Ovis aries: one gene and its partners. The protein of the gene in region 4 interacts with the protein of the main gene of each other region in a pairwise test. Links are inferred from orthologs where the notes say so. Each region holds a gene or a part of one and is shown on either strand. Other genes may lie near its edges.

Region 1 (2,396 bases), on a different chromosome or scaffold from region 4:
AAAAGTAGACCAGCCTAAACTGTATTGGTGAGCTTTAGGGGAACTAAACATATAAAGGACGGCCTGTACTCAGCTCCTTTTAAGAAAAGTAGTTTAACTGAGATTTGAAGTTCTTCATTTCGTAAAATAAACTTGTGGTATTGTGGTATAATGAAAACTATATATTCGACCTTTGTCCCCATGTCCTGAATCCCTCGGAATTTCCTGAATGATAGAATGAGACTGCTCACCAGAGGAGCCGACCACATGATTAGAGGGTTAGAACTTTCAGCCCCGTTGCCAGCCTCTGCAGAGGGGTCAGGGACTGGAATCAAGTTTGTTCACCAGTGGCCCATGATTTAATTAATCATGCCTGTGCCATGAAGCTTCAGTAAAACTCTAAAAGGAGACCAAGAGGTTTCCAGGGAGGGTGGTGCATCTGAGAATAAAACTGTAAGTAAATCCCTTTCCCAAGCTCTGTGTGTTGTTTTAGCAGATTATTGAATGTGAGAGGAGGTCATGGGAATTCCCTAATTTATAGTTGTTTGGTTGAAAGGACGGGTGGTCCCTAGGACTTACCTCTGGTACCTGAATTGGGGGCAGTTTTGTGGAACTGAGCCCTTATCACTCCAGGTGGTGTCAGAATTGAAGTGAATTGCAGGATGCATTCTGTATTATACCTGGAATACTGCAGGTATCCCACATGTTTAATGTGTAACCTGGTCACAATTATCTCTTCCAGTATCTGACCAAGCAGGTGGAGCTTCTGCGGCAGATGAATGAACAGCATGCAAAGGTTTATGAGCAATTAGACGTCACAGCGAGGGAACTGGAAGAAACAAATCAAAAGCTCGTTGCTGACAGCAAGGCCTCACAGCAAAAGATTCTGAGGTAAATTCTTTAGAATCTGTTGAAGAAGCCCTAGGGGAAGTCATTTAGTATAAACTAGAATAGAACATGGCTGTAGTGGGTTCAGGTCAGTGTGGGGTAAGCTTTAATTTAATTCTCTATGGAGAATAGAGATTAAATAGAAGTCTTTTCCAATTACAAAAGCCCAGTTTGAGTGGTTGCCAACTAAGCTCTCCTCACTGCTTATGCCTTTAATTTAATATGACAAGCTGCAATTGGCTTCTGTCTGTTCCTCACAGTCTGACTGAAACGATTGAATGCCTGCAAATGAACATTGATCACCTCCAGAGCCAAGTGGAGGAGCTGAAATCATCCAGCCAAAGGAGAAGGAGCCAGGGGAGGCATGACCAGGAGAAATCGGCCCCCAGCTTCTCGTCTTTGAAAGAGCTGTATGACCTCCGCCAGTAAGAGCCCACCTTCCATTTGCAAGCAGGAGAACATCTCGTGTCATTGGCACATTCTGGATCCCAGTAGATTAAAAGTACCCTTTTAGGAAATGCCGCTTGGCTATTAGACCACCAGTGGTTTGAACAAAACCACTTAAACATACATGTGATAGTTTTTGTTGTTGTTGTTGTTGTTTAGTCCAATTGAAATTTCAGTAAAACAAAATCCAGGCAAACAGAAGGCTTTTTTTTTTTTTTTTTTTTTCCTGAAGAAAAGCCTTTTACAATTTAGACTTTGGAGATTGAATCTTCATTTAAGAACTATTTCTTGAACACCTGTGGTAAGGCAGGTGCTATGCCAGATGTGAGGAGTGGTGAGCAAAACAGACACAGTTTCTGCCCTCATGGAGCTTTCAGTCTCAGGAAGAGGCAGGTAGCAAATAAGTACAGTTACAAGTTGCCCAGGACTCTGACCAGGAGAGAGACCAGCTCGTGCATTTGGTGGGCCTCAACTTGACTGTTCAGATCGCCATCAGGCCTAATCAGAATCTCTAGGTATGAGTGAAAGGCTATTCAGGTGATTCTGATGTCTGTCTGTTCTTGGTTTAAAATCACCGCAGCAATGGTTCTCAGTCTTAGCTGCATATTATGAATCATAGGAAGAGCTTTAAAAAATACACACCCTCTAGTTCATGTGGCAGACCAGCTAGGTCAGCATCTGTGGGGGTGGGACCCAGGCGTCAGTATGTTTTAGGACTGCCCAGGTGATTCTAATCTGCAGCCAAGATTGAGCACCACTGGCTGTTCTGATCTCCTTGAACAGTCTCAGTCATACTACTGGTCTTTGGGAATGGATGTTCTATAGCATTTTTAATGTTTTAAAAAAAAATTAATTACACAAGATGTGTGTTCCTCCATGTGTTGTCAGCCTCACACATTCGTTTTAGCCGCTGCTCTAGGGTGGAATAGGCAAAAAATCAGTCATATCACAGCTCCTCAAAAATATGTAGTTGGAAAAAAATCATCAGCCTCCCTCTTTGCCTTCTCAGTCGGCCTGTGTAAGAGTCTTTCAATATTTCCCCCAGGCACTTCGTGTACGATCATGTGTTTGCCGAGAAGATC
Region 2 (3,446 bases), on a different chromosome or scaffold from region 4:
TTACAATTAGAAATGAATACATGTCTCATGGATCTTCAGGGTTACTCATGTGGTTTAAACTTGAAGTGTTTTATCCACAAATGCCAGGAAATCACTGTTTTTAAAAATGTGTATTATTTTATTTATGTGGCTGTGCCAGGTCTTGGTTGCGGCAGGCGTGCTCTTCAGTCCTTGTTATGGCATGTAGGGTCTTTAGTTGCAGCATGTGAACTCTGAGTTGTGGCATGTAGGATCTAGTTCCCTGACCAGAGATTGAACCCTGGCCCCTGCATTGGCAGCGTAGAGTCTTAGCCACTGGACCACCAGGAAAGTCCCAAGAAACTACTTTTTAATGAATGAATATATGCTGTCATGGAACAGTTTTGTTTCAGATCTCTTTTGGAAAATACCACTAAGGAATGGTGGGAGGAGCAAGCAAATGACATGGGGATATACATAAGACCTGGGTTCTGTGTTGGCACTCTGGTTAAAGCATGTGGGTGCACATTACCTCAAATTCTGTAGGGCTTAGATTCTCAGGAAGACTTTCCAGACTTCTGGAAAGACAGACAGGCTGCTTAATTAGTCTTTGGGTCTGGCTATAGGCATCACCCTGCGAAAGCTGGTGCGGAGCGCCACTCTGGACATCGTGGATGACATGGCTCAGCTTGTGGAAGCACTTTACATCAATCCAGCTCAGAGGTAGTGATGCCACAGCTGGAGTTATTGGGTAATGGGGTTCTTTGTTTCTGGGAGGCGGGGGAAAGTCATTTTAACAGCAAAGTTACTGATAACTGAGATTAATGACCAGCAGGAAGGACCTTTGTAGGAAACAGGAACCCAGGTTATTGATACATCCTTATTGATTCGTTTCAGCAACCCTGAGAACCTGATTCCCTACAACAGTGTCTGGGATGCTTGCCAACATATACCTCAGATCCCAAAAGGTGAGTGAGAATAGAAAGTAGACATTGACTCTGCTGGCCAAAGCTGACAGACCTCACGTCCAGCTGCCAGTTTTGTAGTAGTATGTATTTTTACTTACGTAAAGAACTTAGTGAAATAGGTCTAGTTTATCACCAACATGAAAAGACAGGTATTAATTATTTTTGCCAGTCTTTTTAGTTCACGTAACTTCTAAATTCAAACACCCTCTGGCTGTGGCTCTGTCTGTTGTTGAACAGATGTGGTTTTCTCTTCCGGTCCTGCCCCAGGGGCAGTATTTTGGAGACACTGAAGCAGTTATGGGGTAGAGCCTGCTAGGCTAAGAGCAGTGGTCATCCAAGGGTGCCATGCTGAGAAACATCATGTGACTATTATATTTCTTCCTATGGTGAATGACAGGAAGCTTTTTAGCCCCGCTGTCTGGGCACCCAGAGGATGTATATGAGAAGAATTTTACATTCATTGCTGCCCTTGTTTACTGTCCTTGGCACTCCCTTCAGATGAGAACACTTGCTTTTTGCAGACTCGAGAATTGTTGGGATTCTCCACTAACTGCAGTGCTTCTCGTTCTTCACTCATAGATAACAAAGCTGCAGCCCTTTCAGTGCTGACAAAGAGTGTGGATCTTGTGAAGGATGCACATGAGGAGATGGAGCAGGTGAGAGGACCTCTTTCTTTGATGGTCATTGGAAGGCCTCTCTGTGTCTAGTAGATGAGGATTGGTTATAAAGAGAGAAGATATGTCAAGCGTGGACCACATGGGTCCCCCCTCACTCCCACCCTCCATCTCCCATCTCCCCCCCCCCCCCCCATGTGGGGGTGTGATTTGTACCATTCCTCTCTGTTCCATTGCTGCACTAGGAGAGTTAGAACAGCATGTGTGAGGTGATTCAGCTCTGTAGCCATTTAGAGAAATAGCTGGCTGAAGTCTGGGGACAACTCCGACATGATGCTAAAAGTATTATTACTTTTTTTTTTCCTGGCATGCACATATATCCTGTTGTATCTTAGGCTGTGGAAGAATGTGACCCTTACTGTGGCCTCTTGAATGACATTGAGGAGGACACCTCTGACAACCATGTTGATGAGGAGGATATATTGGGATGTCCAAACAATCGGGACTCATATTGGTCAGAGGGAGACCAGGAGCTCATAATCCCATGCCTTGCACTGGCGAGAGCATCCAAAGCCTGCCTGAAGAAAATTCGGCTCTCAGTGGCAGAGAACGGGAAGAAGGATCAGGTGGCCCAGCTGGATGACATTGTGGACATTTCTGATGAGATCAGCCCTAGGTAAGCGTGACCTCCACTCAAAACATCCCAGCAGCAGCATTCTGACCTCAACTTGTGCCGTCACCTCAAGGTTTTCCCCCATCTTTTTGTTTTGAAAGTTTTCAAACCTGCAGGAAAGGTTAAAAAGTATTGTAGCGAGTACCTGTACTTCCATCTAGGTTCACCTCTTGTTCACTTTTTTTTTTCTGTATTGGTTTATTTCTCTGTAATTAGATGTACCTTTTTAAAAACTGAAATAGATGTGCTATTTTCATCCCTGAACCATTTGTAAGTTGCAGACATCAGTGATGTTTTTCCCTGAATATTTCAGCATGTATTTCCTAAGAAAAAACAGTTTTACTCTTAGTATTACATTTAAGAAATTTACATTGAATATGTGTTTGTTTGTGATAGTCACTTAGTCATGTTTGACTCTTTGCAACCCCATGGACTGTAGCCTGCCAGGTTCCTCTGTCCATGGAATTCTCCAGGCAAGAATACTGGAGTGGTTTGCCATTCCCTGACGATAAAGATTATACTGAGTATAATAATATTATCTAATATTCAGATTTCCCAAATTGTCTCTAAAACGTCTTCTATAGCTTTGTTGTTTGTTTTTTGATTCAGGGTTCTGTCAAGGGGTCATACTGCATCTGGTTGTCTTTTCTTTGGTATCTTGCAACTAAAACAGTCCCTGTCCTTTTTTAGCTTTTTTTGTCATTGACATTAAAAAATTTTTTTTATTTTCTTGACATTCTTAAAGAATCCAAGTCAGTTACATTGTAAAATATCTAGCAATCTGGATTCATGTGGTTGTTTTCTCATAATTATGTTCAGGTTAAACATTTCGGCCAGAATATCGCTTGGTTGAGTGTTTCATGCTTTTCATTGCATCATGTCAGAGAGGCACGTGGTATTAGTTTGTCGTGTTTTTGGTGGTACAGCACTAACTTGATTGCTTGATTAAAGTGGTGCCTACTTTAATGGCATTCAGGGATGAACCCTGCCTATATCAGTTATTAAACTTATGGTTTCAGATCCAAACACTTTTAACTTAATTAATAATGTTCCATCCTACTGGCCAAGGGAGTTCCCCCCACCCTCAACTTCTTAGTAAAACAGAGTAGGTATGTGTTCCATAAATACAAGTTGAATTGGTTATTTATTGGTTGCCCAGTGTAAGGAACTGATGCATTTCTGGGAATTATTTCCTCACTCGTTGCATCCTTAGTTGTGTCCTGGAGACCACCT
Region 3 (3,500 bases), on a different chromosome or scaffold from region 4:
GCTGGTAGGCTGCAGTCCCTGGGGTCGCGAAAAGTCGGACACGACTGAGCGACTTCCCTTTCACTTTTCACTTTCATGCATTGGAGAAGGAAATGGCAACCCACTCCAGTGTTCTTGCCTGGAGAATCCCAGGGATGGGGGAGCCTGGTGGGCTGCCGTCTGTGGGGTCGCACAGAGTCGGACACGACTGAAGCGACTTAGCAGCAGCAGCAGAGGAAGGATCATACCTGTTCTTTGGAGTCCCAGAAGTAAAATTAGGTCCTGGAATTCATAGGAGTTGGTGGGAGGACTATAATAAGAGCAGGTGAACACTGCTTCCAACATGGTGATGAGCTCCCTGTCGGGGAAGGTGGACATTGCGGAATGAACTCCTGCCCTATGATAGGAGAATTGGTTAGAGGTACTCCTCTCCCAGGTCACTTCCTTAAGTATCAAGTAGGAAGTATTAGAGAGCTGAAAGAAGATAGGCTTTGAAATCAGGCGGTCTGGGTTCCAACTGTGACTCTGCTTACAAGCTGTGTGACCTTAGGGAGATTACGTCACTTCTCTGAGTTTTGGGTGCCCAAACAGAGAGAGTCGTGAGCTACTTACCCATTATATCATTGTGTTATTAGCAAAGTAACATGGAAGTTATCTGGCACATAGTAGGCACTCATTAAATGTAGGTAATTGATAAGGACTGTGATGGCTCAGCACTGTTGAAAGAACAGCTTGCTTAGTGTGGGTACTACCCTTTATGGTAGAAAGCAACGATTTAGAGGACCAAGGAGCAGACAGGGTTAAAATGTAACTTGTGTGTGTTGTAAATCCTCCTGGGGCTTGACTTTAGCATGAAAGCCTTCCCATCTCACCCCATGATTTTCCCGCCTGTGACCCTGTGGTGGGGCCACTTATTACCCTGGCAACAGCCTGGTAAAGCACATGAGGGTAGCTAGACAAATGAGTCAGCAGGTTGAAGGTTCCTGGTTTTGTCTGTGCCCTAACCCTGTACCCAGGCCTGGCAGGCTGTGATAGTGAGAGCCTGGAGACCTACCAAAACCAGGTTGTCAGTTCTTCTCTCCCTTTTTGGATGGACTCATCAGGACACTTCTTCAGACAAGCCCACCTGGAGGGATGGGATCATCTGCTCTTATCCAGCACTGCACGGAAGAGAAAGAGAAGTGGAACTCCCTGTGGCTGTCCAGTGGTCACACAGCTGGAAGTTCTCTTGAGTTTTCTAGTCCAGTCCCTGTTGTTTTACAGAAGAGAGAGCTGAAAGGAAGTGACCGGTCACCCGGAGAGTGAGTTACAAAGTCGTGCCTCAAACCCTTGTCTCTTGATTTCTTTCTGCTTTACCACAGCAGGGCACTCATCTTCTTGTTGTCTTGATTAGATACAGTCCTAAAAAGTTGGGAATTTTGTCTGCCTTGGATGATATAGAAACAGAGGCCAGAGAATGAGAGATACACATGCTTTTTTTGTGGCATGTCTGTTTCTGAAGCAAACATAGGCATTACAGGGTTTTTAGACTGTTGAAGAACTTGAAGCTGGCATGTAGATACTTTTTTTAAAATAAGACAAAGCCTGTGTGAAATGGGTTATGTTTAGCCTTTCAGAATTTCATCATAACCAACAAGCCCACACCATATTAAACTCTGACGTTTGAGTCTTTTAATTATCCAGCATGATTTTATGCAAAATGGAAATTAAGACAGTGCCTTTCCCATTGTAATTGTACTTTAATTCTCCAGGGGTCTCTTCACTTTTGAAGACAGACTTGCATGGGATTTCCTGTCTACCAGCCTGTTCTCTAAAACACTATTTGCTCATTACCATGCCTCCATTTTTTTTTTCAATAGTGGTAAGTTTCATGGGATGTTTCTCCCTCTTAGATGAATGACAGGCACCAAGTTCTTGTGTATTTCTGAAGAGCGGCTTCTACCACATTTTGTGGCTTTGAATAGGGGCTCTTTGGGGGGATTGTTTAGGGCTTGGTGGTCTTGAGAAGCTTGCAGTTCAGGAGGTTGGTGTTGAGTCACACTTGTGCTAAGTTGAGTTTGGGAATTTATCACAGCATTTTCCTGGATGCAGGCATGGGCTTAGGAAAAAGGCTGGCCCTTGGGAGATTATATTGATAAACTTGTCATTTTATATGTGCCTTTTAGTTCAGTTGAGGAAGTTACAAAACTTGGTAATATTTCCCCTGTTCCTATAGGATAATTAGGTAATAGAAATGGTCCAAGTGTCATGCAGACGTGACTGGAAATTCTAGTTTATGTCTTAGGCAAACCACCTCACTTTGAGCCTCATTTTCTGCTTCAAAAGAATCATCATGGGGATTAAATATATTGAAGTTAGTAAAGAATTTGGCATGGAGCCTGGTGCATAGTAGATGCTTACTCAATATTTGTTGAATAGATGAATGTGGTTAGCTAACACCACAGAAGCTAGAAAGGAGGATGAGATCGTTGATGCCCAAATCCTCGGTGGTTTTCTTGCCCTGGAAATGAAACAATCAGGAAGTCAGAGTCAAAGAAGATAGTCTCTTCAGAGGCTATATGTTTATTTCTGTTTGCACTAAAACTGATTATTGGGTCTTAAGTTTGAAGTAGTTGCAAAGGTGGGTTGACTGTAGAGAGTTTTCTTCATCCCTTTGAGTCCATTGCTAATTTCTTCTGTTGTTTCCTGGAATGCAAAGCCAGACACAGACTCCAAAGCCATGTTAAAATGCCACATGAAGTCACCTGCTGTCTCAGATGATCCACACCATCGTTCACCTTCATTAATGTGACCAGTCAAGAGTTATAGCTTCTTGTCACCCTATGTTCAGTCTCCTCCTCACACCTCATCCATCTTGCTCACCACTGCCACATTAATCTTCCCGAAACATCTCCTTCATCATGTCCCAATCTGTGTTGGATGCCTGCAGTGGTTCTCTGTGCCAAAGGATAAAAGCCAAGCACATAACCCACAGAACAGCCTCATCGCTGCTATTCATTGAACATCTTGGACAAGAAAGGCACAGTGCTTGGTGTTTTATAAGCATCACCTTTTGGAAAACAGTTTATCATCCCGACCTTAGAAATAATGAAAGTGAGGCTCAGACAGATGAAGTAGCTTGCCCGAATTCCCATAGTCAGCAGGTAGCATAACCAGAGTTCCAAACCAGGACCACCTAATTCGAAAGACTAGGCAGCCTTTATTCAGTCCTGGGCCTCCCTCTCCCAACCAGTTCACCCACTTCTTACAGTGACACTGAGTGTTCCATAATCTGTGGGCTAGAATGGATGGGAGGCATCACTTTTAGCTCAGGGTGAGGATTAAGGAGACCTGGAGATGTGAGGTTTGTCCCACATGAGCCAGCATCTCTCTGAAAGTCAAGCCTTGTATTCTGGTTGAAATTCTTGGTACTTCCTGGGTTGTAAGGATCTGAAAGACACAGATCACTTAGCAGAATACTCAACCCAGAACAAGGGTCAATGAATGTCCACTGACCCCAGAAAAGGACAAGTGGGGGCCTT
Region 4 (4,203 bases):
TGTTTGGGCTGAGGCACAGAGGACCCCAGAGTAACCGGCAGCTTTGTAGTTTTCAGCTGAGTACTTGAGTGTTACAGTGATCCCTTGTGCTGTCTTTACTTTCTGGATTTGACCTTTCTCACAACAAGATAAAAATTTTAAGTCCACTGTGTCCTTATTCCATGTTAGGTACTGTTTTTTTATGCATATTAATGCATTCCAGCCTCTCAACAACTGCAAAAGACATGCTCCTCTCCTTTTTATGGAAAAGGATACTGAAACACAGAGCGATAAAGTTAGAACAACGTATGAAAAAATATGCAATCTTCCTAATAATCGAGGAAATACAAGTTCAATCAAGACCACCTCTTCACTTCAGTAGGTACGAATCCCCAAGTTAGAGAACGTGACCAAGAGTGACTAGGGTGACCACGACAGAGCAGACCAGGGGCTTAGAAGCAGACAGCGCGCAAGGAAAGAAAATGCTCATGCCATCCACACTGGGGACATTCCCAACAGAGACAAAAGATGTGTACTAGGATTTTCAGTGTGTTCTTTTTAGTAAATAAAAACTGGTAAACACCAGGAGACAAAATAAACTGTGGCATATGAATGAGGAAAAATAATAGTAGTTAAAATGCACAAAACAGTCCTATAAATATCTATGTAAACTTCTCTCCCAGACACGCTCAGTGAGAAGAGCAAGTTGCAAAACAAAGCAGGCTGTACAACATAGTTTAATTAGAAAATAAAGCACAAGAATATTCTGTTCACAGACACACGTGCCTGTAAAGGATTCACACGCTAGAGAGATGCTCATCATAGTTGTGGCAAGCCTCCCAGGAGGGGAGGATAGAAAGCAGGTCCCAGGGTGCTTCAACACTACTTTATCTTTACAATAAAATTTTAAATAAGTAAATTTTTAAACTAAAAATCCAAAGTAAAAGCAACAAAATAACTGTTACACCTGGGTGGTGGTGGGGTGGGTGGGCTGCATGGGTCAGGCCTGAAGCTGACAGCAGGCAGCAGCATTTCAGAGCCGGACTGCCCCTCGGGGGTCCAGCAACCACAGCAGCTGTAGGGCCTACCTGGCAGGCTTGCTGCCAGGTGAGTGAATACACGTGAAACCCCTGGAACAGTGCTGCCCAGAGGAAGCAGCACATGAATACGTCAGTTCTCATCCCCACATGGACGTGGCACAGGGACGGGGAGGAACCCTCCAGAGGGACCATGGCAGGAAGGATGGAGGGCTCCCTGCTCTGATCCTTAACTCTCTGCTGGGGGACAAGGCAGCACCCACCCTGTGGAAGCTCAAGGAGGCTTATGACTGATTCATGCACTTTCCTGTATGTACACTACACTTTTCACAAAACTCATGAGGAAAAAGGAAAAAAAGGGGAACCGCACCAAATAAGACTCTGGGCCCAGCAAAAATCTGTAAAGAAATAAGATAACCAAACAACTGAAGATATTGAATAGTTACCCTGGACTACTGATTAAAGAAGAAAATCATCTACTAGAAATCTCAGGAAATATTCCTTGGAAAGGAAAAAGAAGCAAAATTAAACATAATGTACATAAGGAAAACACAACATCATTACATTCGTGATTAAATACGAACAAGGTCTTGCTGTTAAGTTGGTGAGGTGTGAGAGTGACACGGAGGTAATTTTTAACTTAACATCCTTGTCACTTAGGTTAAGCCGGCATCCTGAAGTACTTACAGGCAAAATGCCCAGTAAGTCCTACAACCTGCTTTAAAATACTCCAGGGGCAGGAACAGAGAATACAAGAGCAGCAAAACATTGACCTACCATGACATGTGAGCAGTCTCTATGCTACTCTCCCTAGTTACCTGGGTGTTTGACCACTTCTCTAATAAAATATCTAAAATATAAGTAAATTTTAGAAGTTTCACTTTGAAGCATAGGACAGGTCACGGAAAGGCGGCGGGGGGGGGGGGGGGGGAGGGCTCCATTCTTTTCAACATAAACCCTTCTGTACTCCTGACATACCTGGGGAAAAGTCAAGAAGACCCCCTAATGAAGGATACTGCTAGAAGAACCCCCTGCCTCTATAAAGTTCTCTTCTTCTCAGCATTTTGCTCGGCCAAGAAAAACAAAACTGCAAAGAACTGCAAAGGTTCTGTCCGCAAGTCCCCGCGGCCCTCTCCCCCCCCCCCCCCCCCCCCCCCCCCCGCCCCCTGCTAGTGGCCTAGAGAACTCAAGCCTTACCTGCAGTTTTCCTGGAAGCGGCACTTCCCCTCCAGGAAGAACGGGCAGGGCTTCAGGGACTTGTGAGTGGGGTAGAGATAGAGTACGCGCACGCCCGGGGAGCCGTCGTCCGCCTCCTCGGTGCCCACTACCATGGCGTTGTGATACTCCAGGGTGCCCCAGGCACTGTAGTAGGGGGCGTTCACCTTTCTTCCACTCAGTGCTGCCCCGCCCTCCTCGTCCTCCCCGTCGTCCTCCTCCTGCCCAGGCTCCGTGGGTCCTGGCCCAGTCTCTCTCGAAGGAACAGTCTCCAGTTCTGCCCCGGGGGCTACTGGCACCTCCGCCGTCTCCACGATGGCATTTTGGAAAGCCAAAGGCTCAGCATCCTCCTGGACTGGGCGCTCTCCATCCAGCGCCGCCAGCAGCTTGCTCTTCCTGATAGACACCAGGCTGGCCTCAGTGAGCTCGATCAGCTCCTTCAGGTCTCCCTGCAGCTGGCGCAGGTCGGCCAGTTCCGAGGGATCCAGGCCAGCGCCCAGGGCCAGCTCCACCTGCTGCAGCTGCGCGTCGTAGGTCCGGAGGGCGGTCTGCAGGCTCTCCTCGTCCATCCTGGCGGGAGGGGCCGATTTCCCGCGCCTGCGGGGCTGGGTCCCTGGGTCCTCAGAGGGGAGGCGTGGGAGCCAGAGCTGCGGAGAAGAGAAGCCAGATGAGTCTGGGACAGACGGCCCCCACAACGCCGACACTGAGCGTTGGCCGACTGCAACCCTCGGTGGTCAGCCTGCGGAACCGTGAACAGCAGTCTCTTCGTTTGGACGTGGAGATATTTCAAGCTCCGAGAGGAGGAGCCAAAGCTGGCCCTTGGCCACTAGCCCCACGGCCTCGATTCCCTTCCCGGGAGCTGCCTTCAAGCTCTTCCGGGGTCTATGCGTCCAAGTCTTGTGTCCCCCGCCGGGCCCACCTCTGCGGCCTCGCGCCGCCCGTCTCCGCTCGGCCAGCAACCTCGGGCCAAGGCCCCGTTGCCCAGACCCCCTCGCCCCGGCCAGGCCCTCCTCCGAGCGGTTTCCCGGCCGCCGCCACAGACGGCCAGCCGGCCTCACCGGCCAAAGCCGTCCGGCGCCCCACTTCCGCCCTTGCAGCCCACAGGCGCTTCCGCCCGAGCACCGCCGCCGGCGGAAGTGTCTGGCGCGGGGGCTGCCGGGAAGGCTCCGCCCCCTCCTCGGCCGACCGGCGCCTGTCCCGTCAGGCGCCGCGCGGGTTTAGCGCCGGGTCGGTGGGTCAGGCGCAAGGCGGTTCCCCTGCTCTGCGGCTCGGCGGTCCGGCCGGACGGTCGCAGGTACATCGAGGCGGGTGGGTGGAGCTGGGCCCAGGCTCGGCGACCGGTCCGCAGTCTGTCCGCGCCGCCCGCCCGCCTCACGACTGCTCTGGGCAGTCACCAGCCCTCAGACGCCCCGCCTCTGAGAGGCGTTCGCGGCGGGCCGCGAGCGAAGGGGGCGTTGGTTAAGGAGACCCGAGGGGAGCAAAGCCTGAAGGGAGCCCGGGCGGGGGAGCAGCGAGAAGCGGGGCGGGGCAGGCTGCCCTCTGCCTGCGAACAGAGCGCCCTGGCCGGGCCGGAGAGGGCGTGTGGGCACCTGGAGCGCCGGGGCGATTCTGTAGCAGTTGCGGAGGCGAAGGCGGGCGGAGGGGAAGGGAGGGGAGGCAGAGCCAGGAGGGCCCTGGGCTCCAGCTGTGAGCGGCCGTGCGGGCAGCGGGACCCTCTGTCCACGGTGCGGGCCGTCTCGTCCGTGACCGATCTCGGGTGCCCAGGGCAGGATGTACACGCTGCTGTCGGGCCTATACAAGTACATGTTCCAGAAGGACGAGTACTGCGTCCTGATCCTGGGTCTGGACAACGCCGGGAAGACGGTGAGTGTGGCTCCGTGTCAGCGCCATCCCCCACCCCCACAGTCCTTTCGGTGTTTTTTTTAGCTGCGTGTTCTCCACCCCGGCAGGCTCTGAACCCTGCTTAAGGTCA
Region 5 (4,235 bases), on a different chromosome or scaffold from region 4:
AGGGAAGGGGGACCTCCTCCAGGGCCTCCCTTCTTGGGGGTCTCTCCCAGACTGGCTGGAGCCAGTCCTCCTAATCCTGCAGTAATCATTCCCAGCCGCTGGCTGGTCTAGGCCTCATCCAGGGTCTATAACGTTAAACGTCAGCCATGCCTTCCAGATGCACACTACCAGGTCAGTCCTACCTGTAAGGATGTGGGTTCCACATTCTGGTCTTCTGTGCTCAGGAAATCTTTCAGGGATTTCCAAAAGGAGACTTTTATGAGGTCTATGAATTGGGGATAGAGGGATAGATACACACTTGCCTGTCTTGCCCCACCCTTCTAGCAGACAGCCTACACAGCAAACCAGAATGGTAGGGAGGAGGGGAAGCTAATGATCCCCCAGCCCCACCCCTACACACACACACACATTCCATTACACACCTGTCTTAAACCCCTCACGTGAAAATTAGCCCAAAGTATTTCAAGAGCCCCTGGAGCCCAAAAAGTAGCAGTTAATCCCTGGGTCCTATGTAAGGTCCCTAGGAGTCACTGTTTCTATACCCCACCTAAGAGGATTGAGGCAAACTGCCTGGGCTAGAACCAGTACTCGGCCTGTGCCCAACTGGAATCTTCCTGAGAGCTGAGGGAGAGCCTGGCCCAGTAGAATCCAGCTGGATCTGCAGGCTTGTCCTCAGATTCTCTAACCCCCTTGCCTGTAAGGGGGCAGCTTTGGTCCTCCATCCCTTCACTGGGGATGGGTCTCAGAAGAGACTCAACTCAAAGGGCTCCTGCTGCCCAAGTACTCAGGCTGCAGATATGACCCAAATACCTGTAGACATCACGGTCTGCCCTCCCACAGGCTGCCTTGGGTGCCATGGAGGGAGGGACCCTTTGGTGCAATACAGGTCAACTTCCTGTTTGTGCCTGTGGGTGGAACTTTATAAGTCTAAGAGAAGCCTGACTACACTCTGGTGGGGGGCGGGGGGCAAAACTGGCAAGCCTGCTCACCGGGCAGACACCTACTCCAGGGGAGGGGGAGGTGTTGGTTCTGCTTGAGCAGCCCCAACCTCAGAGGTGTGTGAGGAAGGGTGGGGTCTGTTTCGGTGAAATCCGAGCCTTCTTCGTCTGCTTCCCAGGGGTTTTCCCTGTGTCTGGGGAGTGGGCTGAGAGTGGACCAGGCTGGGCTCCCTACAGACCAGAGGATAGTGGCAGTAAAGCCCTATAGCCAACTTGGTTAGGGCAGCCAGGTAGCTTAGCTTAGCTGTGGCGCCGCTGGCCCCTTCCTAGATCGAAAGCCAGTTCCAGAAGCTGCGAAGTCAGAAGTCCGAGGGGCAGTCTTGGGCCACCGTCGCAACACTGCTTGGCAGGGTACCAGATCTGCTGCTGAGGGGGTGCTGGGCAGACCACTCCCCTGCCTTGGTCGGGGGCGCGGCCTCAGCCGCCCCGCCCCCTCCACCAAGCCCGGGCCGAGCGCGCTGGGGAGCCGGCGGATCTGCGACCAGGAGGTGCCGGCCCTGGGTCAGGAGCCCAGCGGGAGCTGGAACGGCGGTTAAGGTAGCGCTGGGTGAGTGAGTGGGGGCGCCGCGGCGGTGTAGGAACTCTCGCCTCCTGCACACCCCCGCCCCGGAGTGAAATTTCCCGATCCCGGGAAGCCGGGGATTGGGGTGAAGAGACGGGTCCTCAGTCCAGGGGCCGCGGGCGAAGAGTCTGAACAGGGAACCTACACGAAAACTCACACCGACGGGCGCACACACGCGTGCACACAGACCCACGCGCGTACTGGAGACACCTGAATACACGTGCACTGCGGGGCGGACGCGCCTAGTGAGTTTCGCTTGCTGTTGGCGGATCAGCGCCGCTGGCCCGCGCGGACCCCCAGCGGGCAGGGTGTGCTGCCGTCGCGTACTTGGTGAGGGTGGGAGAAAAGGGCCTCCCAGTGACCGCGGACGGGGGCGGGCCAGGTGGGACGCCTCCGGAGGTTCCGGCTTCCTTGCTGCCCGCAGGTGAAGACTAAGACGTAAACAGGCGTTGAGCACGTGATCGCTTCGCAGACCCGTGGGCTGTACGGGGGGAGCCTCGCGGCGGGAACCTCCCTCCGCAGTACTAAGCGAGTTTGAAAGATACATTGCCGGGCTGTATTCCATTCTCCCCTTGGAGGGGATAAGCCCTTCCCCAGGAATGGGAGCACAACGCCCCCCGGAGTTGGGGTAGCGAAGGAGGACAACAGACTGTTGGACTGAGAGGGTTGGTTACCTGGGCTCCTCACCTTCCTTCTCCGGAACATGTTGCCCCCATTCCTGAAGATACCCGAGAGGGGGGCAATTCTGGCAGTGTACAGCAGCCTCCGCCGGGACCTCCAGCCCCGGGGAGCATCTGCGCGAACGCCTGTGGGTCCCCTTTCTTACTACACTCCTCCTTGCGGCACTGGGAGCTCCTCCCCTCAAAGTAGGAGCAGAAAGCCCACTCACGCAAGAGTAGGAGTCCCCCTTCCCCAGAGAATGCATGACCGTACACATCCTCTCTATACCAGAGTGGGCCCGTCTCCCTCTGGTAGAAGGGAGCACGGCCCCCTCCCCCCAGCGAATGAGAGTGGGCAGCGGCCCTCGGCCTCCCTCTCCACCACCCTCCCTACCCCTCCACACACGCTGAGCCCAGCTGCTGCCTGAGCTTCTGGGCAGGCTGCCAGAAAGGGGAGGAGGCTCCTGGTGCCCCAGGAGGCTGGGATCAGGGCAAGGCCAGAAGAGGGGGTCTCTATGGGGGTGGGGCTCAGTCTGTACTTGTGAGGCAAGAGGGTCTAGGGTGAGCCTGAGGGTGGCTGGGCTATGTTTCCCTTTCCAGGGAAAAAGAAAGAAAACAACTCTTTCCATGGAGCTAAAAATAGAACTGAGAGCCGGCCAGGCTGCGGCCTGGAAGGGGGGGGCGGGGCGGGGGGAATGCTCCTTCCTGGGGCAGAGGAGCTCTGGCAGGCCTTAGTTCTGGGGGGCGGGGTTAGGGGGCAGGAGGCTGTCCTTGCCCAGGGATGCGGGCATCAGCTGACCTGGTTAGGTCACAGAAACCCCTATGGGAAAGTCTGTGTGATAAAATGTTTGTGAAATACGACGTGTATGTTTAAAAAGTTGTCTTTGTGACTGTGAAAAAGACTGTCATAGTGTGAAAAAAGCTTGGGAGGCAAGTATAGTCAAGACTGTGACTGGGTGCAAAGGAACTTGAGCTGTGAAAGCTTGTGCACAACTAGCCGTGATACCAAGTGTGTATCTCTGAGTTGGCCTGATTATGGCAAGAAGGGACATGGATCCTTCTGATGGACCAGACAGACTGAGTGATTGTGTCTGAGACTGAGTGTGGGAAAGGTCGTGTGGGTGTTTAGATTGTGTTGTTTGCCAGAGGGTGAGAGTATTCTTGACCCTGAGAAGACAGTGGAACGTTGTCTGCTGTGAGGCTGGCGTAAGCTTGGCCTGTAGGTTTGGACCAGCTCCCCCACTGGGGTGACTTTTGGGGGCCCAGGGGACGTCTCTCTCTTGAGCATTTACCTCTTAGCAAATGAGTCTGAGGGAAGGTTGGGGAGCAAAGAACCGCGCTCGAGGAAGGCCGGGGCTCTCCCGAGAGGGAGTACAGCACTGGGGAGAAGGGTAGGGGCCCCCCAAGTTTGGGGGTGGCTGTGTTCTCCGAACGGGCCGCCAGGTGGCGCCGCCTCCGCAAATCCTAGCGTGCCTTCTGCAAGCGGCTGGGGGTGGGGCAGGCACCCACCAAGCGTCGGCCCCCGACTTGTGCCAGGACGCAGGGCCAAGACTTGGGGGTTAGGTGACCCCCAACCTCCTTCTCTGGACTCTGAAGCCGGAGAGTGTGCCTAGGGGTGAGGCATCGACTAGAGGAGCGGAGGGGGAAGGGCGGCTGCCGCGGCGCCTGGCCCTTTGTGCTCGAACAATGACCAGCTGCCGCTGGCCCCGGGGCCCAAGTAAGGGTAAAGGGTGACCCGCCACCGCCTAGTCCTGAACCGACCGAGCCCCAGACACACAGCCATCGCTCCTCGGAGGGAGGGAATCTGAGTCCTGCTGCGTAGCTCCAGCGTGCGCCCCGCCGGACACGCGTGACGCCGGGTGCCTGCGCGTGTCCGCGCCCCGGGGGCGGGGTCACCCCTCGGACCCTCCCCCGCGCTGCACCGCCCACTTGGGCCGGGCGGGGGCCAGGCCGGGCTGGGGGCGCCGCGGAGGCGGGGCCGGGTCGGACCGGGCCGCTCCGAGTGGCGGCGCGCGG
Region 6 (3,500 bases), on a different chromosome or scaffold from region 4:
AAACAATTATGAGAAAGCATATCTCTGATAAGGCTCTACAAGTGCTGGTGGCACTGTGTTCCGTGGACGTTGCTGACATTCATGCTGATGTTTGCATGCAGAATATAGTAGCATTAAAGAACATTTAGGTCATAGACTAAAGTGCGTTAAAGTATACACATGCACGCATGACTTCATTTCTATAAATAAAGCTCAAATCAGTCATTTTTCTTATTGGCTCCAATGGTTCAGAATCATATTATGCTTATGTTTCCTCTCTCATGTGTAACAGTTTAATTGTTAAGACTCCTGATTCAGGAATGGTCATACTGGGAGATAACAAACGCAACGCACACTATCCAGTCTTGAAGCAACTGGAAATTACCATCAGGACAATCTCGAAAAAAAAAAAATCAGAATTAAGTACCATAAAACAAAGTGGTTATCACCTATTAATTTAAAAAAATGAAAGAAATTAACCACTTTAGCCCACAAATTGGTGTTAAGGACAATCGTTAATTAAAGAATAAGAGAAAATAATAATATAAAAACTATATTGAGGTATGTCATGGCAGTTAAAAATACAGAGTACTACATGGAGCCTCTCTCTATCAAAATTAAATTAAAAGAAGCTTAATTGGGATAACTTGCCAAGACTTCTATGAAGGACAATTTTTACTTCTAGTATTTAATCTTTACAACTAAAATAATGCTTCTTCACTTTGACTGTAATTTTGGAATGTTTTATAATTTATGTAGGGGAGGAGTTAAAACTTCATTTTGCATCCTAGTAGAAAAGTTTGTTTTAAAAAATTACATAAGCAAAGATGTTTAAAGAACTTAGGAGAATAACTTGTTCAAATAGTTTTATACATAAATTTTACATATAAATAACATAAAAACATGTCAATAGATACTGTAGGGACATTGCTTGACACTTCTTGAATAGCTCTAGTGCAAGGTATTATATGTTGTCGAAGGTGATTAAATTCTTCTTCTTTCATATGTTCTCATTCTCATAGGCTTCTTTTATAATTATTGCAGACTGGTGAGGTTTGACAATTCAAGGAGAGACAGTTGAAAGAGGACTATTTAAAATCAAAACCTGTCCAATCTCTGGTCCCACCACTTACACTTTCTGACCTTAATTTCCTTATTTGTACATTAGAGACAGTGCTATCTACCTTGCTGATTAGGTGGGGAAATGCAAGAAAGAGCACTTTATAAATAATAAAGCAGTATATATATGTAGGAAATTACTCTTAAGAACTGGTAAGAACCTCCAGTTTTCACTCTTTTTTTTCTTTAGAGAGGAAGATAGCTATATTGACCGATCTTCAAAAACTACGTCGACAATATTAGGTTCCCGCTTTCAGAAAATGATGTCTATATATAATCTCTGGTCAGCTTCTTCTTTTTTTTTTAAATACTGACTACATAAGAGTAACTTCTAATTTAATGACAAAAATTTCAAATATGAATGACTTCAAACATTTAGACTTGCCTTCTGCCATAATCCTAAAACACTTTGCATATTGGAATTATGATAGGTCATTTTAGATCCAAAGTTAACAGAAAGTCTAATTAGTTAAGTCAGGTAGGTTTCCAGACCCTTAAATGTGCTCTGACCTAGTTCCCTGCGAAAATTTAATAGTGGTAGTTTACATGTTTGTGAAATACTTTGAAATTATTTTATATAAAGTTTGGTTGTGGTGAATTTATTGAAAATATTTTCTTTGAAAATAGTTCCCTAAGTAGATTTTTCAATATATTTTTTTAAAAGGTATTTCTGTAACACAATAAAAGTAAGAGGATTAAATTGTTCATCCAGCGTGTCAACTCAAGCTAGGTCTTTCTTTCTAGTGCAGCAACAGATTTTAGGGCAGTAAAGTTCAGAATGGATACAATGGCCTGTTCAGAAAGCATGCAAGTGGTGTCAGGCCATTACTTTTAAGTTGATCTGAAAATTTGTTGATTAGACTCTGACCGTGGAAAGAGAGTGACACATGAACGTCAGTGTAAGCTGCAGGCCCTGTTGGTTCACATTCCAGCTACCTGATGTTGGGCTTTATTTCCTTTTCTTCTTCTTCTTCACTATCATCCACCTGTTGTATGACCAGATCGGCAGACCCATCCTCGACTATCTCCACGTACGATCTGTTCTCATCTTCACCCATGTGCCATCTGGAATCCTTATCTCCATCTGATGGGGACATAAGATGCTGTTCAGCTTCCAGATCAATGGGGAGGCTGTCTATGCCAACTTCAGCAAGGCACTCATTACAGAGTCTGTAGCGCCTGGTTCCTTCCTGTACCACTTGGCCTGTTAGGTCAGTCACGTGGCGCTTGCATTTTCTGCAGATAAGTTTGCATGCCTGGTGAATCTGTGTAGAGAATTAAATAGCGATTAAAAAAAAAAGATTTTTCAAAAGCAGAATAGTTTGATATTCTAAGTACCAGTTCATAAATTTAACATGTTCAAAGCCAAGCATTAATATTAAATTAACATCTAGTTTATTAGAAAAAGGTCACAGGTTTTGGTAATAAAGTAATGTCACAGAAATATCAAACACTAGCTTTCTCTAAATTATGTCTATTATGTTTTCATGGTTAATATTACATACTTAATAATTTCACATATCCCTTAATCCAATAGTATTTTTATTTCTGAGGTAAGTGAAGTCGCTCAGTTGTGTCCGACTCTTTGTGACCTCATGGGCTGTAGACTACCGGGCTCCTCTGCCCATGGGATTTTCCAGGCAATAGTCCTAGAGTGGATCGCCATTTCCTTCTCCAGGGGATCTTCCCAACCCAGGGATCGAACCCGGGTCTCCCGCATTGTAGACAGACGCTTTACCATCTGAGCCACCAGGGAAGTCCATATCTGAGGTAACATGGGACATATTTCCAGAATAATAATTGTAAACACTTAATATCTGCCATATACTATTCTAAGGACTTTACATATCTTAATTCAGGAGAAAAAACTATTTTGTTATTTTGCTTGAGGAAGAAAAAATAATGTCCCAAATGTAAATTTATAAAAGAATATTTTTTGATGTAAGGATTATTGCCACTTTTATTAATGAAAGATGTTGTAGAAAGAAGACTGGTCTCTCTGCTTCTGTTATTTTCTAATCTTGTCATTTACTAACCATGTATAGTGAAGCAAGTCATTTAAAACAGAAACCTGCCTCCAGGGTGACTGTCAAAGTATTTAGAAACTGGTAAGGTATGGGTACCACGCAAACAGAATAGAAGCTTGATGACCAGAACGGATACTAGTTATAAACAACCAAGATGGTGGTTCTGCTACATATTGGTCTATTACTATTCGCAACCGCTCCCTTATTACCAATAGGGATACACTTCAGTTTGTGTGGACCAAATGAGTTAATATGTGTGAAATGCTTTGCGAAGAGGTTATAATTGATGAATAATTATATATTATAGTTAGTAATAAATAACTTTGTTCAATAACTATCCGAGTAGTAGATTATAGATTCTAGCCTAAAAATTAT
Region 7 (3,500 bases), on a different chromosome or scaffold from region 4:
GTTGGTTGAAGAGATTAGAGGAGGAGGTGTAGAAGATAGAGAAATGGAGGAAAAGGCTCAGGAAGCCTGGTGAAAAGGTCATCTCTTAGCAGTCCTTAGCAATCGCTCGGTCCAGAGGTGTTGGGGCTTGAACTGAGAAAGTGCCAGTGAAGAGAGTAAGACTGAGACGTGAGGAAAACTCAAGAAGTAGAATGAGTAGAATTTTATGAAAAATTGAATTTGGGGAAAAGAGAGTCATGAGTTAAAGATACTGTTCAGGTCTCTGATTTGAATTTACTGATGATGGCGGTATGATTCACTGGGATAAGAAATAGATTTGCAGAGAAGATGGTAAGTTCATGTAAAGTGTGGATGACTCTGAGAGAATCTGATTTGATGTGTGTGGGATATGTCAGCTGGCCCAGTGCCAGATGGTCTGGCATGATAGGAAGTTGTAAGCATGATAGGAAATTTTGGCAACCTTGTAGCTATCTAAGCTTTATTCTTAAATTTTTCTTGAGGTCCATTGTTCCAGAGATCATACAAGTTGTTTGTGGTTAGTTGTGACATCACTTGAGTGCCTTTTATATTTTATAAATATTAGAGGATTAAAAAAATATTCTAGCAGCTTCATGCATACTTTGGTACAGTTCCTCTGGAAATGTGTGAAATGAATTGCAAGTGAACATCCAGGGCTTCACTGGTGGCTCAGACGGTAAAGAATCCCCCTGCAATGTGGGAGGCCCAGGTTCAATCCCTGGGTCGAGAAGATCCCCTGAAGAAGGAGATGGCAACTCGCTTCAGTACTCTTGCCGGGAAAATCCCATGGATGGAGGAGCCTGGCAGGCTACAGTCTATGGGGTCACACTGTGTGGCTAACACACACACATTTTAATCCCATATTGATTCTGGCAATGCTGCCATTGCCCTTAGGGAAAGGTTTTGAGAGACTTTACTGTTTGCAAGGCAGGACTGATATGCTGCAGTCCCACCTTTTCTGACCTGGAGTGTTTTTCTTTGCATAGTCACCTGTCTTTAGACTTAGCTCCAAATCATTTCTGGATCTTTCTTAAGAGTGTGTCATAGAAGTGTTAAAAAGTATTAAAAGGAAATTATGAAAATGTTCAGTGGCAATATCACTGAAATAGGTGAAGGGCCTTTTGAAGGATCCACTTTGAAGGTCTTTTGCATTTATATTAAAATTGGTATTTAAATTAAAATTTGCTATCCAAATTTAAAATTTGTAACTATAGTATCAAGCTTTATAATTGTTTTAAATATTTTGTGTGCTGCTAAACTTCAATTTTGGGTAACAAATCCTAGGGCATGTAACTTGTTTTTACTAATCTTTTAAGGATTCAGTTGCTCTGAATCCAGTGTTAATTTTAGTCAAAATTGCATACGAATGTTTTAGGAACAACTGGAAACCTCCAGGAGAGAAATGATTGGTCTTCAGGAAAGAGACAGACAATTACAGTGCAAGAATAGGAATTTGCATCAGCTACTGAAAAATGAGAAAGATGAGGTGAGTTGTCAGTTGTTGCAGATAAAGTTGAAGTGAATTTTTTGTTGTTTGTAATTTGAGGTGACTGTAACGGTCACTTAACTTTATAACAAGAAAACCGTTTGTTCATCCTGTATCAGATTGGTATGGCAGACCTCTGTGTGTATAGTGTTGCATCGTACTCAGCTGAGAGGTCAGGAACCCTCTCTAGCTCCCTCTCCCCTAGGGGCTTATCTGGCTTAGTGTGTCAGTGCGCAGCTTGTGACATCCAGTGTTCTGTACCATCCATCCTGGGCTCAACACGCACGCCACTTTTTGTCAGACACAGGGGTGCTTTAAATGCACATCTTTTATTCTCTGTCATACCTTTACTTGTATCTTGAATGCTTCTTCCTGAACTATCTGAAATATTGACATTGTCCATCTAGTGAGACAATTACTTGACTAAATGAACACACGAGTTACTGTTTGAAAAAAGCAATTCACATTAGAAATCTAATTTCTAGGCTGAAGACATTATAATTCTAATCTCATTTTTGCCTTATTGATTACTTGGTATTTGGACCTGTAGAACTAATAATGCATTTGAAATTATCTTTGAATTTATATAAGAAGAAATCACTAGGTTTTTACTGCTCTGTGGTTTGGTTTCTGACCACGTGATCACTGTAAAAGCAGAACATTTTCAGTGTTGTATATGTTACTTTGATGATAATTAGACTTTTAAGGGAGCATATTTCTTGAAGAACCTTACAGTGATTTAGACAAGTTTGTTTTGGCATGTTTGATTATGTAGTAGTATATTTAGTAATTGGATAATGAAGTATCTTACCTAAACCACAAGGTTATGTATACTTTTCCTTGAGTTATTTCACGGAAAATTTTGACTTACTCTGTTGATTATACTTGAAATGGTTTGACTATCGTTTTTCTTTCGTAAGGACTAAGTTAAACATGATCATCTCTAGTAGAGATAAAGAATGTCTTTAAAGAACTTACTTCCCATCCAGGGCTGCCTAAGCAGTCGTAGCAGATACGAACATTGACCAGTAGTGCTTGGCATATAATATGTACTTAGCAAATGTCTGAACCAGATTCTGTCTGCTGTTTGCCTCACTCTAATTTGAGAACTGTTTTTGATGAGAGAAAAGCAAACCTGTTTATCTGCTGCCACATGCCATGACTAATTGGGCTTGTCACAGATTGAGAAAGAATAAAATGATTCAAGTCAGTGGTAAAAGGAAGTCCTTACAAATGATCTACTTGTTTCAAATGAAGCTTTAATCACATTAATACTTCCATAAGCGTTTGTGGTTTCTAAATGATCAGAATCTATATACCTAGGGTGAAAGGTGTAGAAGATAATTTAGAGAGTTATAAGCTCTGGAAATTTCAGAATTAAAAAATAAGCACTCTATGTGCTTTATTTAATGATGTTTTAAAGAGTGGTTTCCAGTGGCTATAGAGAAGGAAGAATAATCCTATAATTTTTAAACTATTCTGAGGAGCTAAATTCTAGGATGACTTCTCTCTCTTGAATTTGTAAATTTTAACTGAGTTTACCCATCCAAAAGGGACTCATTTAATAGAAAATGCTTTTTTTTTTAGGTGCAGAAATTACAAAATATCATTGCAAGTCGAGCTACTCAGTATAATCATGATATGAAGAGAAAAGAGCGTGAATATAATAAACTAAAGGAACGTTTACATCAACTTGTTATGAACAAGAAGGATAAAAAAATTGGTAAAAAGCAGCTGGCTAAGATAAAGGGAAATAAATTAGTATTACGCTAAGAAATGTAGAGGAATTGAGCTCAGTAATTCCTGAAGTGTCATTTTCATTCTTTATATAATTGATTGTAGATGGTATATATCCATATGAACTAGAAATTGAGACAACTGGTTACTTGAAAAATAGTGGTTTTGCTTTGCTACTTTAGTTGCATATAAGAATTGCATGTATTTTTTTTACCGTGACAGATGTAGGATTAATCCACAGAAGAAAGCTAAGCCAGAG

The links.
Region 1: the proteins of ZGPAT (region 4) and CDR2 interact in binary tests that used the Homo sapiens proteins (3 or more experiments, as listed by UniProt). The two-hybrid records come from large-scale screens. The link is inferred for Ovis aries from reciprocal best matches to the Homo sapiens genes ZGPAT and CDR2.
Region 2: the proteins of ZGPAT (region 4) and CCNDBP1 interact in binary tests that used the Homo sapiens proteins (3 or more experiments, as listed by UniProt). The two-hybrid records come from large-scale screens. The link is inferred for Ovis aries from reciprocal best matches to the Homo sapiens genes ZGPAT and CCNDBP1.
Region 3: the proteins of ZGPAT (region 4) and BEND5 interact in binary tests that used the Homo sapiens proteins (3 or more experiments, as listed by UniProt). The two-hybrid records come from large-scale screens. The link is inferred for Ovis aries from reciprocal best matches to the Homo sapiens genes ZGPAT and BEND5.
Region 5: the proteins of ZGPAT (region 4) and LZTS2 interact in binary tests that used the Homo sapiens proteins (3 or more experiments, as listed by UniProt). The two-hybrid records come from large-scale screens. The link is inferred for Ovis aries from reciprocal best matches to the Homo sapiens genes ZGPAT and LZTS2.
Region 6: the proteins of ZGPAT (region 4) and ZBTB8A interact in binary tests that used the Homo sapiens proteins (3 or more experiments, as listed by UniProt). The two-hybrid records come from large-scale screens. The link is inferred for Ovis aries from reciprocal best matches to the Homo sapiens genes ZGPAT and ZBTB8A.
Region 7: the proteins of ZGPAT (region 4) and SSX2IP interact in binary tests that used the Homo sapiens proteins (3 or more experiments, as listed by UniProt). The two-hybrid records come from large-scale screens. The link is inferred for Ovis aries from reciprocal best matches to the Homo sapiens genes ZGPAT and SSX2IP.

The regions. Positions count from the first base shown.
Region 1 is NC_056077.1:20,559,589-20,561,984, reverse strand, and holds part of CDR2 (cerebellar degeneration-related protein 2), read left to right. Parts: intron 1-721; coding exon 722-870; intron 871-1,127; coding exon 1,128-1,292; intron 1,293-2,359; coding exon 2,360-2,396.
Region 2 is NC_056060.1:36,643,523-36,646,968, forward strand, and holds part of CCNDBP1 (cyclin-D1-binding protein 1), read left to right. Parts: intron 1-584; coding exon 585-681; intron 682-855; coding exon 856-926; intron 927-1,505; coding exon 1,506-1,582; intron 1,583-1,935; coding exon 1,936-2,216; intron 2,217-3,446. UniProt on the Homo sapiens protein: May negatively regulate cell cycle progression. May act at least in part via inhibition of the cyclin-D1/CDK4 complex, thereby preventing phosphorylation of RB1 and blocking E2F-dependent transcription.
Region 3 is NC_056054.1:23,286,363-23,289,862, reverse strand, and holds part of BEND5 (BEN domain-containing protein 5), read left to right. Parts: intron 1-1,082; 5' UTR 1,083-1,113; coding exon 1,114-1,280; intron 1,281-1,730; coding exon 1,731-1,840; intron 1,841-3,500. UniProt on the Homo sapiens protein: Acts as a transcriptional repressor.
Region 4 is NC_056066.1:53,744,868-53,749,070, forward strand, and holds the start of ZGPAT (zinc finger CCCH-type with G patch domain-containing protein), read right to left. Parts: upstream 2,801-4,203; coding exon 2,214-2,800; intron 1-2,213. Other genes in the region: ARFRP1 (ADP-ribosylation factor-related protein 1), read left to right, coding at 4,002-4,094. UniProt on the Homo sapiens protein: Transcription repressor that specifically binds the 5'-GGAG[GA]A[GA]A-3' consensus sequence. Represses transcription by recruiting the chromatin multiprotein complex NuRD to target promoters.
Region 5 is NC_056075.1:21,595,350-21,599,584, forward strand, and holds the start of LZTS2 (leucine zipper putative tumor suppressor 2), read left to right. Parts: upstream 1-1,435; 5' UTR 1,436-1,535; exon of another isoform or gene 1,536-1,805; intron 1,806-2,028; exon of another isoform or gene 2,029-3,834; intron 3,835-4,209; exon of another isoform or gene 4,210-4,235. UniProt on the Homo sapiens protein: Negative regulator of katanin-mediated microtubule severing and release from the centrosome. Required for central spindle formation and the completion of cytokinesis.
Region 6 is NC_056055.1:235,011,042-235,014,541, forward strand, and holds part of ZBTB8A (zinc finger and BTB domain-containing protein 8A), read right to left. Parts: intron 2,364-3,500; coding exon 2,031-2,363; 3' UTR 1-2,030. UniProt on the Homo sapiens protein: May be involved in transcriptional regulation.
Region 7 is NC_056054.1:61,693,323-61,696,822, reverse strand, and holds part of SSX2IP (afadin- and alpha-actinin-binding protein), read left to right. Parts: intron 1-1,393; coding exon 1,394-1,504; intron 1,505-3,091; coding exon 3,092-3,227; intron 3,228-3,500. UniProt on the Homo sapiens protein: Belongs to an adhesion system, which plays a role in the organization of homotypic, interneuronal and heterotypic cell-cell adherens junctions (AJs).